Schizosaccharomyces pombe: one gene and its partner. The protein of the gene in region 1 purifies or fractionates together with the protein of each later gene. This does not show direct contact. Each region holds a gene or a part of one and is shown in the gene's direction. Other genes may lie near its edges.

The links. The genes of interacting proteins can lie anywhere in the genome.
Region 2: the proteins of erh1 (region 1) and pabp purify together in Schizosaccharomyces pombe (affinity purification with mass spectrometry, with the first as the bait; one study listed by BioGRID). This does not show direct contact.

What each region holds. Positions count from the first base shown.
Region 1 is NC_003424.3:4,061,718-4,069,185, reverse strand, and holds erh1 (protein erh1), read left to right. Parts: upstream 1-2,214; coding exon 2,215-2,243; intron 2,244-2,327; coding exon 2,328-2,349; intron 2,350-2,367; exon of another isoform or gene 2,368-2,400; coding exon 2,401-2,458; exon of another isoform or gene 2,459-2,533; coding exon 2,534-2,563; exon of another isoform or gene 2,564-2,694; coding exon 2,695-2,799; exon of another isoform or gene 2,800-2,857; coding exon 2,858-2,928; downstream 2,929-7,468. Other genes in the region: decaprenyl diphosphate synthase subunit 2 Dlp1, read right to left, coding at 1-430; ubiquinone biosynthesis protein Coq9, read right to left, coding at 1,000-1,752; cpy1 (vacuolar carboxypeptidase Y), read left to right, coding at 4,668-7,468.
Region 2 is NC_003424.3:1,540,981-1,545,781, forward strand, and holds pabp (major poly(A) binding protein Pabp/Pab1), read left to right. Parts: upstream 1-1,805; 5' UTR 1,806-1,884; coding exon 1,885-3,846; 3' UTR 3,847-4,241; downstream 4,242-4,801. Other genes in the region: SPOM_SPAC57A7.15C (uncharacterized protein), read right to left, coding at 4,368-4,628, 4,681-4,801. UniProt on the Schizosaccharomyces pombe protein: Binds the poly(A) tail of mRNA. Appears to be an important mediator of the multiple roles of the poly(A) tail in mRNA biogenesis, stability and translation. In the nucleus, involved in both mRNA cleavage and polyadenylation.

The sequences.
Region 1 (7,468 bases):
TAATCTGTTCGTTGCTTTGTTCTTCTCCAATATTAATATGAATTATATTGGCAGCATGAATCAATTCTGTTACACGGGCAAGTTGTTTGTACCTTTGAAATAGTTGCTGACTCGGTGGATCCCCATTTACTGATGCTCTAGACATTAGAAGTACAAGAAGCGGATGAAAAAAACGAGTTGAAGATTTTCTGTATGGCTTCGTAATTTCATCTAATAAAGGATTATTATCTGTCCACGTATTAATTTGACCATTTAAAGAATCCATTTCTTCTGTAAGCATTTTTAATAAGTCAGAATGCCAACGGGAATCTCGTGATAAAACCCCTACAGCTTTTAGCAGAATGGAAGACCAGGAACCAGGTTTTTTTAAAGATAATAGAGAGCTTATTGCAGAAGGCCTTTTCAGCAAACTAGCGAACGGAAAGCTCATCCTTCATACAATAAGTGATGATTTCACACTTGAGTAAAAAGATGACAAAGGCCTTGTAGAGGTATAGTAGGGTATCAGTAATTTACAACGCTAATGAAACGAGAGACAAAAAATAGTGGGATGCTTTGATTGCTACTATGTTTTCATTTTTGGAGTTCTTTAACTACGCCTGTGTCTTGTCAGTTTTAGCTAATTATTTCAAAGTCACAGGTTACCTCAGGAAGAGTCAGAATAGTAAGTTCAAGGTAGTAAAAAAACAGAATATACAAGTAGTAAAGGTAGCATTAGTCAAAGTGTGTGTTTCTATTAAATGTTTTACTGAAGTTAATTTGTTATCAACCCGTGAATATATAAGGATTTTTCTATAGATTTTTTTAAGGTAAACACTGTTCAAATGAAGTTTCGAATCAAAGAGTACATTCAACAATAACTACCGATATATGGAGAAAACAATTAGCCAAAAAAACTTAAATATTGTAGGAAATGAAATTGCATTTATTTCTTGCATAACGTAAAGTTGAATCAAGCTGATTTGTTAAACCAACAAGCAAAAGGAGTAGCAGTGAATTTTAAATTCCCCTTGAACGAAGGATTGATCTCACAGCATTCAGCTGAAAGGAACCCCATTCCAAGACATCGTTGCGTAAGTCATTTAAGGCTTTTGCATGTTGAATGCGATGTTGAACAAAGTTATAAGTCGCCTCAAAATTAGGAGAAGTATCACGACTCATAAATAACTCAGATGCAGAGTAAATGGCAGAGATAGCAGCACGTTTCGTGTACCATTGAAAATCGGCTGACTTATCTTGCGCGAGGTAAAGAATCTCATCTGACAGTTCAGCCAGAGAGGATAATGATTTTCGCAAGTTTGAAGGGTATGTACAAATTGCAATCATCTGCGGAAGATGCTGAACAATATCCCTATTTCCTTGCAGACGAGACCAAATAAGCTGGACAACACGTCCAGATGTTTCGGGGATAGTGGTCAAATGAGGCTTTAATGAACTAAGAGCGTAGCGCTGCTTCAGGAAAAAGTACGAAATCAAATCCATTGGACCAGAAGGAAAGAGGGCCTTGGAGAGATTACTATAGCCAAGGGCCTGACCACCTTGCACGATTGCATCTTCCGTGAACCCCAGTTGAGGAACATGTTCAAGAGCATTTTCTAAAATTAAAGCCTTCTTTCCGGATATCTTAGAGGTTTCGTAATTTTCACTATGATAGCCTCTCCTTCCTAGAGCGGAAATGACCGTTTTGGAGATGCATTTATGAAGTCCCAGGTTTTTTGTTGTCAACTGACAAGCACTTCTTAAAGTCAACATGTAAAGAAATAAAAAAAAGAGTCAGAAAAATAAACAAAATAGAAAGAAAGGGTCTTTCACTAAGCAATTCGAAGGAAAGAGATATGGGTAAAGAGGTGTTACGAGTTATTCAAATCAGCGAGTTAGATAAAGTATATAGTAAGATTGGAAGATGACTTCTAAAAATAATTATAATATTTGAAGTATATTAAATTGTGAGAACTGCAAAGTAAACGAACTGATAGAGTGCGTGACGGATGCTACTGTAGAAGGAAAGCGAAATCGCTACTCAATAACTGTGCTACCCACCTGAAAGTACAAAGAGTCGTTCTGACAATAATTTGTGTGACAATAGCAAATAATTTTCAAACAGATAAATTGAAAATAAAAATAGGGTGATATTAAGCTAGACGGTGTGTTTGAGAGGCGGTCTTAATCCTTGCTCGATAAAAACAGAAGATACTTCAAAATACTTGGCTCGTAATGTCGCCTCCACCAGCAGAATCTCATATGTATGTTCCCCGAATGCCAGAAAAGCTTCAAGACACTTATGTACACTATGCAAGGGCTATTCGCTAACTAGATTTTGCTTACAGCATTTTATTAATACAACAAGGAGTATGTCATTAGATTGTAGGATAATTAAAGATTTCACTAACTCCTAATCAGTCGGATCCAAAAACTCGTATATGGAGCGACCATTGCAGCTTGCGTTCTGCTATTGAGTGTATGAATATTATCTTTCGTCCTCCTTGTAGAGGATGCGCTACTTATTGGAAATCATTTGTTAACGTGATATTAGATATAGTCGGTGTTTACCAAACAAATCAAGGTACGTACGATTTTTGTTTTTCTTTTTTGGTTGGAAATTTCAGTGACGATGAACTATGTTTTCCCAAGTCCCGGATTGAAAACTCAGCTTTACCGTATGAAAACTTGCATTAGACTGACGTTTATGTTTAGCAGTCAGCGAAAAGGAATCTATTGATGTCTCAAGGTTTTTCAACTTTTTCGACGAGATCTATGATTGCGTTCCTTTGGTATACGATCGGCATTTTCGTGCATATAGTAAGCAGTTTCTCTCATTTATCAGTTTGATTTTGATACTAATAAATTCTACTATTAGTTCCCCATGAAAAGCAATGGTTGTTACACCATGCTCAAGAATATCTCACAGCTGCTAGACAGATCCCTTAAAAATATCGAACACCATATTATGCTACTCATTGCTATGCTTTAAATTTCAAAATCAAAGAAAAAATAGAACTAAGTTTTTCTAAATTAAAATCTTTATCAATGCACTAGGAATGGCATTTTAGCAGCTGCTTTTCACCTTTGGAATCAGCAACCAATATTCTAAGAGGTTCAAATTCTATTGTATCATGCATTAGCTATATTCTATCTTTAACAATTATTTTTCTATTCTTTTTTTATAAAATTTAATTGTTCTAATAAATGGCATTTGTCTCTTAACTTTTAAACCCAATTGCAAATTTTTTTTTTACTTGTCATGTTTTTTCCTCGTGCAAGACAAAGGACCAATTCCATCCGTTTTGCCAGCCGCTATTGTATTGTTTTGCCCTTTTTTTTAATTTCCAGTGCTGGGAAACTGTAAAACAAACAGCATAGCCACTTCTAAGCCCTCGTTTGAAGTAGTCAAACCGGAAGAAACAAACTTTTGTACTTGCTAGACACTCGATCTTTGCTGACATTTCTTTATATATATATATTTATTTATAGTTTTTTTTTGTATCGCTTTCATCTTCGCCCTCGCTCCTTCCAGTTTTGCTACACATTATAAGGTATATATATCATGTCGGTATACTTGCCGAGCAACGTTCTCGGGTTATAGAAGAATAGCCCTAGTATAGTGGAGCTAAATCACATAATGTTGTGTATTTTGACCCATTTTTGTCACGGAAACCGCTTGGCCAGTTACTTTTTCAATTCGTACCAGGACGAATTAGTCACAATAAAGCGAATGCATATTCATTGTTTCACAAACTAGCAATACAAGATAATTGTCTAGGCATTATAGATTTGCTACCTTGAGTTTTGTGTACTTTGCTTCTCAATTTTACTCTCCAAAGATAAATATCCATTGCTTCTGCAAAGAGTTAGTCAAGTACTTGATGACTGCAAAACAATTAATAACAAGAGCGTGTTTTTATATTTTATACTGTCTGTTTAAGGTTTAATTGAATCCAATAATTCAACTAAGAATAACTTGATCCACATGTTTACCTTTCTTTTTGTTTAATAAATATTATCAGATGTGATTTTCCTGTTTGCTAACTGCAAGCGAAGCTACTTTTTTCATTATATTTCGTTATTAGCGTATAAAGACATTGTAAAGTATTTGCAGCGATATCTAAGGAGGATTGCGAAGGGGCTTAGAACATGATGATTCATGCGAGGCGTCTGCGTCACGCTTCTGGACTTATGCTTAACCCTTCATATATATAGCGATTGTTGCCTGCCGCTTACTTTTCTCCTTAACCAAGCACACATTAACGCCATCGAACCCTAGAACCAGTAAAGTGATCTGAAGAGGGAAAAGCAGCAAAACGATCGTAAATACGTTTGTTTAAGAATTTGCTACTTTTTGTGGTTTTCTGTCTAGTTATTTATTGCGATATCCACATTGCCTTTAGTGCTTGTAATCACACTGTAAGACGTGAGGCTTCGCAATCGACATTGAGTTAAATACATTCTTTTTCTCATTGTTTATTTTTCTTTTTAATCTATCCATATAGCTCATTTTGCCTAACAGTTATCTGATTTGGCTAATTTGCAATTTCTTTTTTAATCCAGTACATACAGATTTGTATCTATCAATTGATTGTTTGAGAAGTTCGGTCTATTTGGTTAGCTTGTTGTACGAATATTTCATTTCCTTTTGTTTCTCTCCTTTCTATACTGTACATTGAAACAAGATGTTAATGAAACAAACCTTCTTGTACTTTTTGCTCACTTGCGTCGTATCCGCTCAGTTTAACGGTTATGTTCCTCCTGAGCAAAATGGTGGTGATATCGTCGTTCCCAAAGATTTTTACGAGAAATTTGGGGAGGATTTCATCCGTGAGCAAGAGGAAAGCTCTGCTCCTCTTATGAATCCCGTTCCCGAGCGTGATGAAGCTGAGGCTCCTCATCACCCCAAGGGTCATCACGAGTTTAATGATGACTTTGAAGATGATACTGCCTTAGAACACCCTGGATTTAAAGACAAGCTTGACTCTTTCCTTCAGCCTGCTCGTGATTTCCTTCACACCGTTTCTGATCGTCTCGACAATATCTTTGACGATGATGAGGATGAACACGTTCGCGAGAAGCGCCCTCATGACTCAGCTGATGAGGATGCTCCCCGCAGAAAGCACGGTAAATGCAAAGGAAAAGGAAAGCACCATAAGGGTAAACATGCTAAGGGAAAGGGAAAGAAGTCTCACCCTAAACCCGAGGATGACTCTGTTTTCTTTGATGACGAGCGTCCCAAGCATCATGAATTTGACGATGAGGATCGAGAGTTCCCTGCTCATCACGAGCCTGGTGAGCACATGCCTCCTCCTCCTATGCACCACAAGCCCGGTGAGCACATGCCTCCTCCTCCTATGCACCACGAACCTGGAGAGCACATGCCTCCTCCTCCTATGCACCACGAACCTGGAGAGCACATGCCTCCTCCTCCTATGCACCACGAACCTGGAGAGCACATGCCTCCTCCTCCTATGCACCACGAACCTGGAGAGCACATGCCTCCTCCTCCTATGCATCACGAGCCTGGAGAGCACATGCCTCCTCCTCCTATGCACCACGAACCTGGAGAGCACATGCCTCCTCCTCCTATGCACCACGAACCTGGAGAGCACATGCCTCCTCCTCCTATGCATCACGAGCCTGGAGAGCACATGCCTCCTCCTCCTATGCATCACGAGCCTGGAGAGCACATGCCTCCTCCTCCTTTCAAACACCATGAGCTTGAGGAGCATGAAGGTCCTGAGCATCATCGTGGACCTGAGGACAAGGAACACCATAAGGGACCCAAGGATAAGGAGCACCATAAGGGACCTAAGGATAAGGAGCACCATAAGGGACCTAAGGATAAGGAGCACCATAAGGGACCTAAGGATAAGGAGCACCACAAGGGACCTAAGGACAAGGAGCACCACAAGGGACCTAAGGACAAGGAGCACCATCAAGGACCTAAGGAGAAGCACAACGAACGTCCTGAGCAAAACATGCAAAGTTCTCATGAGCTTTTGGTCATTGAGGCTTTCGCTGACCTCATCAATTCTGTTCCTGTTGAAGAAATTGCCGAAGAGTTTTCTCGCTTTTTAGACACTCTTGGTATTGAATACTATGGTAACATTCCTGTACATATTCAAGAAAATGCCCCAAAGGATTCATCAATTCCCCCCCTATTTGAATTCGACGATGATTTGGAGTTGAGTGATCTCACTCCTGAACAATTTGCCTACCTTGAAATGCTCAAGGCTGAAGGTATTGATCCTATGACTGCTTTCCGTGACCAGAGTCATCCTGCTAAGCCATCTAATGCTCAACCTGCTGATTCTTCACGTCCCTACGCTGTTTTTTCACAAGAAGAGAATGGTGAACATGTAAATTTAAAGGCTTTCCCTGATCACACTCTTCGCGTTAAAGATTCCAAACCTGAATCACTTGGTATTGACACTGTTAAGCAATACACCGGTTACTTAGATGTCGAAGATGACAGACATCTTTTCTTCTGGTTCTTTGAATCTAGAAATGATCCCGAGAATGATCCCGTCGTGTTGTGGTTGAACGGTGGTCCTGGTTGCTCTTCCCTTACTGGTTTGTTCATGGAATTAGGTCCTTCTTCAATCAACATTGAGACTCTTAAACCCGAATATAACCCTCACAGTTGGAACTCCAATGCTTCAGTTATCTTTTTGGATCAACCTATCAACACGGGTTTCAGCAACGGAGATGACTCGGTTCTTGACACTGTTACGGCTGGTAAGGATGTTTATGCATTCTTGAACCTTTTCTTTGCCAAGTTCCCTCAGTACGCTCATTTGGACTTTCACATTGCTGGTGAATCCTATGCTGGCCATTACATCCCCCAGTTTGCCAAGGAAATTATGGAGCATAACCAAGGTGCTAACTTCTTTGTTGCCAGCGGCTATGAAATGGAGAAGCAATACATCAATTTGAAGAGTGTCTTGATTGGAAATGGTTTGACTGATCCTTTGGTCCAATACTACTTTTACGGAAAAATGGCTTGCGAGAGCCCTTACGGTCCTATTATGTCCCAAGAGGAATGTGATCGCATTACTGGTGCCTATGATACCTGCGCTAAGCTAATCACTGGCTGTTACCAGACTGGCTTTACTCCTGTTTGCATTGGTGCCTCTTTGTATTGCAATAACGCTATGATTGGACCATTTACTAAGACTGGACTCAACATTTATGATATTCGTGAAGAATGCCGTGACCAAGAGCACTTATGCTACCCCGAAACCGGTGCAATTGAGAGTTACTTGAACCAAGAATTTGTTCAAGAAGCTTTGGGAGTTGAATACGATTACAAGGGATGCAATACTGAAGTAAACATTGGTTTCCTTTTCAAGGGTGACTGGATGCGTAAGACTTTCCGTGACGATGTCACCGCAATCTTAGAAGCTGGCCTACCCGTTCTTATCTATGCCGGTGATGCTGACTACATTTGCAATTACATGGGCAATGAAGCTTGGACCGA
Region 2 (4,801 bases), 2.5 Mb from region 1:
AAGAGATGAATGACAAGAGGGGATCTTGCAGCACTGTAGTTAAAAGAAGGAGGGTTTAATGATTTTTGGTTGTAATTGAACAGATGTAGTGAATATGAATAAAAATACAAACCATGTATATAGTCTATTTTTCAATACTCTACTATTTTTTCCCTTTTTACTTTGCTTGTATCATTACAAAGTGATATAGTTCGTATACTTGAAAATTATTGAGAGTTTGGTACGATTGGTTGAGACATTGCCTCAAAAAAGCGCAACACTTTCAATTCCAATACCGATTCGAGCGCTACTTTTTTTTTTATTATTATTAGTGACTCATTACTCACAAGTAACTAAGGTACTAGTACGGAAACCCTTCTTCCTCTTCCCTAACCCACTTTTCCATTCGGCCACTTTTGGCTCTCGCTTCTGCCCATTTCGTTTTCTCCTGTCCTTTTCCTTTTTATCTACCCTTTTTCGGTTATATATATCCGCCATTGCTTACTGAGACAGTTTTTTTTTTTTTTTTTTTTTTTTTTTTAACCGCTTATAAATTGCTCGTCCTCATTTTCTTTTTCTCCCATAATCTATCTCCTGCTATCTTTTACACTTGCCATCACGCTCGGCTCTTACCCATACCTTTACGTCCATGGAAGGGTTATTGGGGTGCCTTGGATAGCGCTAAACTTCCTCATGATTTCCTATCCCCTCGTCCCCCCAACTTTGTCACTCACTTCCATTTTTACATCATCTGCGCTTACTGTCCCCATATACGATAAAGGGCGCTTGTGTCGCCCATGCAAATCCATATTCGACACATTCAAGCTTAAATTTCCGTACTGCGCAAAGTTGTCGTCGCTTTTCGATATGCTGTAAATAGCGTAAGCACGGTAAAATGTGTTAAATTGAGTTTCAAGATTTTGGCGATGAGAGAGATGCGAAATGCGACATAACGAGTTATAAGAGGAAAACAAGGCAAAAAAATAAATAATAGCGTACTCAATGTCGTCTCATGATCATAATCGTATATGTAAACAACTTGGTTTTATGTATCTCGTTCCAACACTGTTTCGATAGTCTTTTTCAGTTATAGTCTAGTTACAAAAAAAGAGAGAAAAGAAAAGAAATCAAAACAAAACAAAATTAAAAGCAATTGCAATAAAAATTTCCAACTTATTCTCTACCACCCAATTGATTTTTTATACACACATTCATAATCTTTCTACGATTTATCTGTTTGTTCAATTGAACCATATGCATAGTCAAGTTCCTATAATACTCTGTCGTCCTGCCAACATAAAATTTCACATACATTGTCCCGTAAAATTCCACTCTTTGTTTTGCTTTTATGACACGTCTATCCTAATCCCTGTGCTTTCTTTGTTCGGAATTTCACCTCCTTTTACTCTTTTGCCTACCATTTGTGCGTGTCTCAAATAACCTATTTAGTGTGCCGATATCACATACCAAATCTATTCCTTATACTGTAGTTGTAGAAACTCATTTATTAAAGTATATTTACGACATTTCGTTGAGATTCCTTGTTTGTTTTGGTAGAAAGGAAATCCCCATCTCATCGAAATTTTCCCCAAAATTTAAACAAGCACTCTTGCACTGCAATTCCATATTTTTTCCTTCCAAAAATTTTTTCGCCTTTTCCTTTGTTTTCTTTTGCCTTTTCTTTTATGGTAATTCTTTGATTTCTGCCTTACTTTACGTAGTGTACTCACATTTTATTTATTAAGTTGGGTTTTCTTTCGGAGTTCAAGATACCGGAGTACAGTGCTGTGATTTAAATTTTCGCCCACCACACATTCCTTCCTTCGCAAACCACAAAACCTATAAATTTAAAAAAATCTCGAAAAATATCATAAAAGCCCAAGTTTTTAAAATTCTGAAAACGCCATGCCTTCCACGGATCTTAAGAAGCAAGCTGATGCCGCCGTTGAGAGCGATGTAAATACCAACAACGAGGCTGTTGAGTCTTCTACCAAGGAGGAGTCTTCCAACACTCCTTCCACCGAAACTCAACCCGAGAAGAAGGCAGAGGAGCCTGAAGCCGCTGCCGAACCCTCCGAGTCTACCTCTACCCCTACTAATGCTAGTTCGGTTGCCACTCCCTCTGGCACTGCTCCCACCAGTGCTTCCTTGTACGTTGGTGAGCTCGATCCCTCCGTCACTGAGGCTATGCTTTTTGAGCTGTTTAACAGTATTGGACCCGTTGCAAGTATTCGTGTTTGCCGTGATGCCGTTACTCGCCGTTCTTTGGGTTATGCCTATGTCAACTTCCACAATATGGAAGATGGTGAGAAGGCCTTGGATGAGCTTAACTATACTCTCATCAAAGGACGTCCTTGCCGCATCATGTGGTCTCAACGTGACCCATCCTTGCGTAAAATGGGTACTGGTAACGTTTTCATCAAAAACTTGGATCCTGCCATCGACAACAAGGCTTTACACGACACTTTCTCCGCCTTTGGTAAGATTTTGTCCTGCAAGGTTGCTGTTGATGAGTTAGGTAATGCTAAAGGTTACGGTTTTGTGCATTTTGACTCGGTCGAGTCTGCCAATGCTGCTATCGAGCATGTCAATGGCATGCTTTTGAACGACAAAAAGGTTTATGTCGGTCATCATGTTAGCCGCCGTGAGCGTCAATCCAAGGTTGAGGCTTTGAAGGCAAACTTTACCAACGTCTACATTAAGAACCTTGACACCGAAATTACCGAACAAGAGTTCTCCGACCTCTTTGGTCAATTCGGTGAGATCACCTCTCTCTCTCTTGTCAAGGATCAGAATGACAAACCTCGTGGTTTTGGTTTCGTCAACTATGCCAACCACGAATGTGCTCAAAAGGCCGTTGATGAGCTCAACGACAAGGAGTACAAGGGTAAGAAGCTTTATGTTGGTCGTGCTCAAAAGAAGCATGAGCGCGAAGAGGAGCTTCGTAAGCGTTATGAACAAATGAAGCTTGAGAAGATGAACAAATATCAAGGTGTCAATTTGTTCATTAAAAACTTGCAGGACGAGGTTGACGATGAGCGTCTTAAGGCTGAATTTTCTGCCTTTGGAACCATCACTTCTGCCAAGATCATGACCGATGAGCAAGGCAAGTCTAAGGGTTTCGGTTTCGTTTGCTACACCACTCCTGAGGAGGCCAACAAGGCTGTTACTGAGATGAACCAGCGTATGCTTGCTGGTAAGCCCCTTTACGTTGCTTTGGCTCAACGTAAGGAGGTTCGCCGTAGTCAGTTGGAGGCTCAAATCCAGGCGCGTAACCAATTCCGTTTACAACAACAAGTTGCCGCTGCTGCCGGCATTCCCGCTGTTCAATATGGTGCCACTGGTCCTCTTATTTACGGTCCTGGTGGTTATCCTATTCCTGCTGCCGTCAATGGTCGTGGTATGCCTATGGTTCCTGGACATAATGGCCCTATGCCTATGTATCCTGGCATGCCCACTCAGTTCCCTGCTGGAGGTCCCGCCCCTGGCTATCCCGGTATGAACGCTCGCGGTCCCGTCCCCGCTCAAGGCCGTCCTATGATGATGCCTGGTTCCGTTCCTTCTGCTGGTCCTGCTGAAGCTGAAGCTGTTCCCGCAGTCCCTGGCATGCCTGAAAGATTCACGGCTGCTGATTTGGCTGCCGTTCCAGAGGAAAGCAGGAAGCAGGTCCTTGGTGAGCTTCTTTACCCTAAGGTTTTCGTTCGTGAGGAAAAACTCTCTGGTAAAATTACCGGTATGTTGTTGGAGATGCCTAATTCCGAGTTATTGGAGTTACTTGAGGATGACTCCGCTCTTAATGAAAGAGTCAACGAAGCTATTGGGGTTTTGCAAGAATTCGTTGATCAAGAGCCTGGCTTCACTGAGTAGTGAATGACATTTCTATGAAAGTTTTCACTATTGGAAGAAATAAGGGTTAAGCCTGTTGGAAATTTAGTATAGTTTATTTACTTTTATCTTGACGAATGGGTGTTTATTCGTTTCACAGGGATATTATTTTGCATTTTATGTTTTTTTTTCGAGGACCTTTGTTCCACTTAGCCTATAGTTTCTTGAAATGCAAAATCCGGTTGGATAATTTATATTGAATTGATATATTGCTTCACAGGCGAGTCGTTTTGTTTATTACTGTAAATCAGTAGAAATCTTTCAAGTTAAGATTAGATTTCAGTAGATTATTGAATGCTTTGCTTTTTTTGGGTTAATTTTAGATACTAATATCTATGGCGCTTTGAGTTTTGACAAATTTGATAATATTGTGTTTCATCATGTAGTTTGCTTTTGAAAACATGTACTTGTGGGAGAGCCAGTATTTATAGTCCAGTCATTTTTACTAGTCGGTACTTAAATAATAATGTCACAAATATTTGTAAATGTTCAACACGTTTTATTTATTCCACTAAAATGTAAACAAGGTTTTCACATTGAGTTTTTAAACGTTCAGATGACCAATGAGCATTCCAAACCAAGATATTAATATCTAGATGTTTTAGGAATGTGAGAATACTATCAGGGTCATCACACCGAAGAGCTTTAGAAGGATGAGAAACATAACTTTCTAATCGGGAGGTATGTTTTGAAAGCAAAGTAGAACGGGAAGCAAGGAAAAGATCGTAGTCACTCCATTTTTTAATATCCTCTTCACTAGTGGTCTAATAAAAGTTAATAATCAAATAATTAGCAAATTATGTTTAACATATTTACCTCATCCACTAGAATCATAACTTTCTTTCTTGATTTTGATTCACTTTTTGCTTCTTGGTCCCGAACCAGATCCTTAAATAGAACGTAAAGTGTTGTTCCTATTCCAATTGCAAGTGTTGCT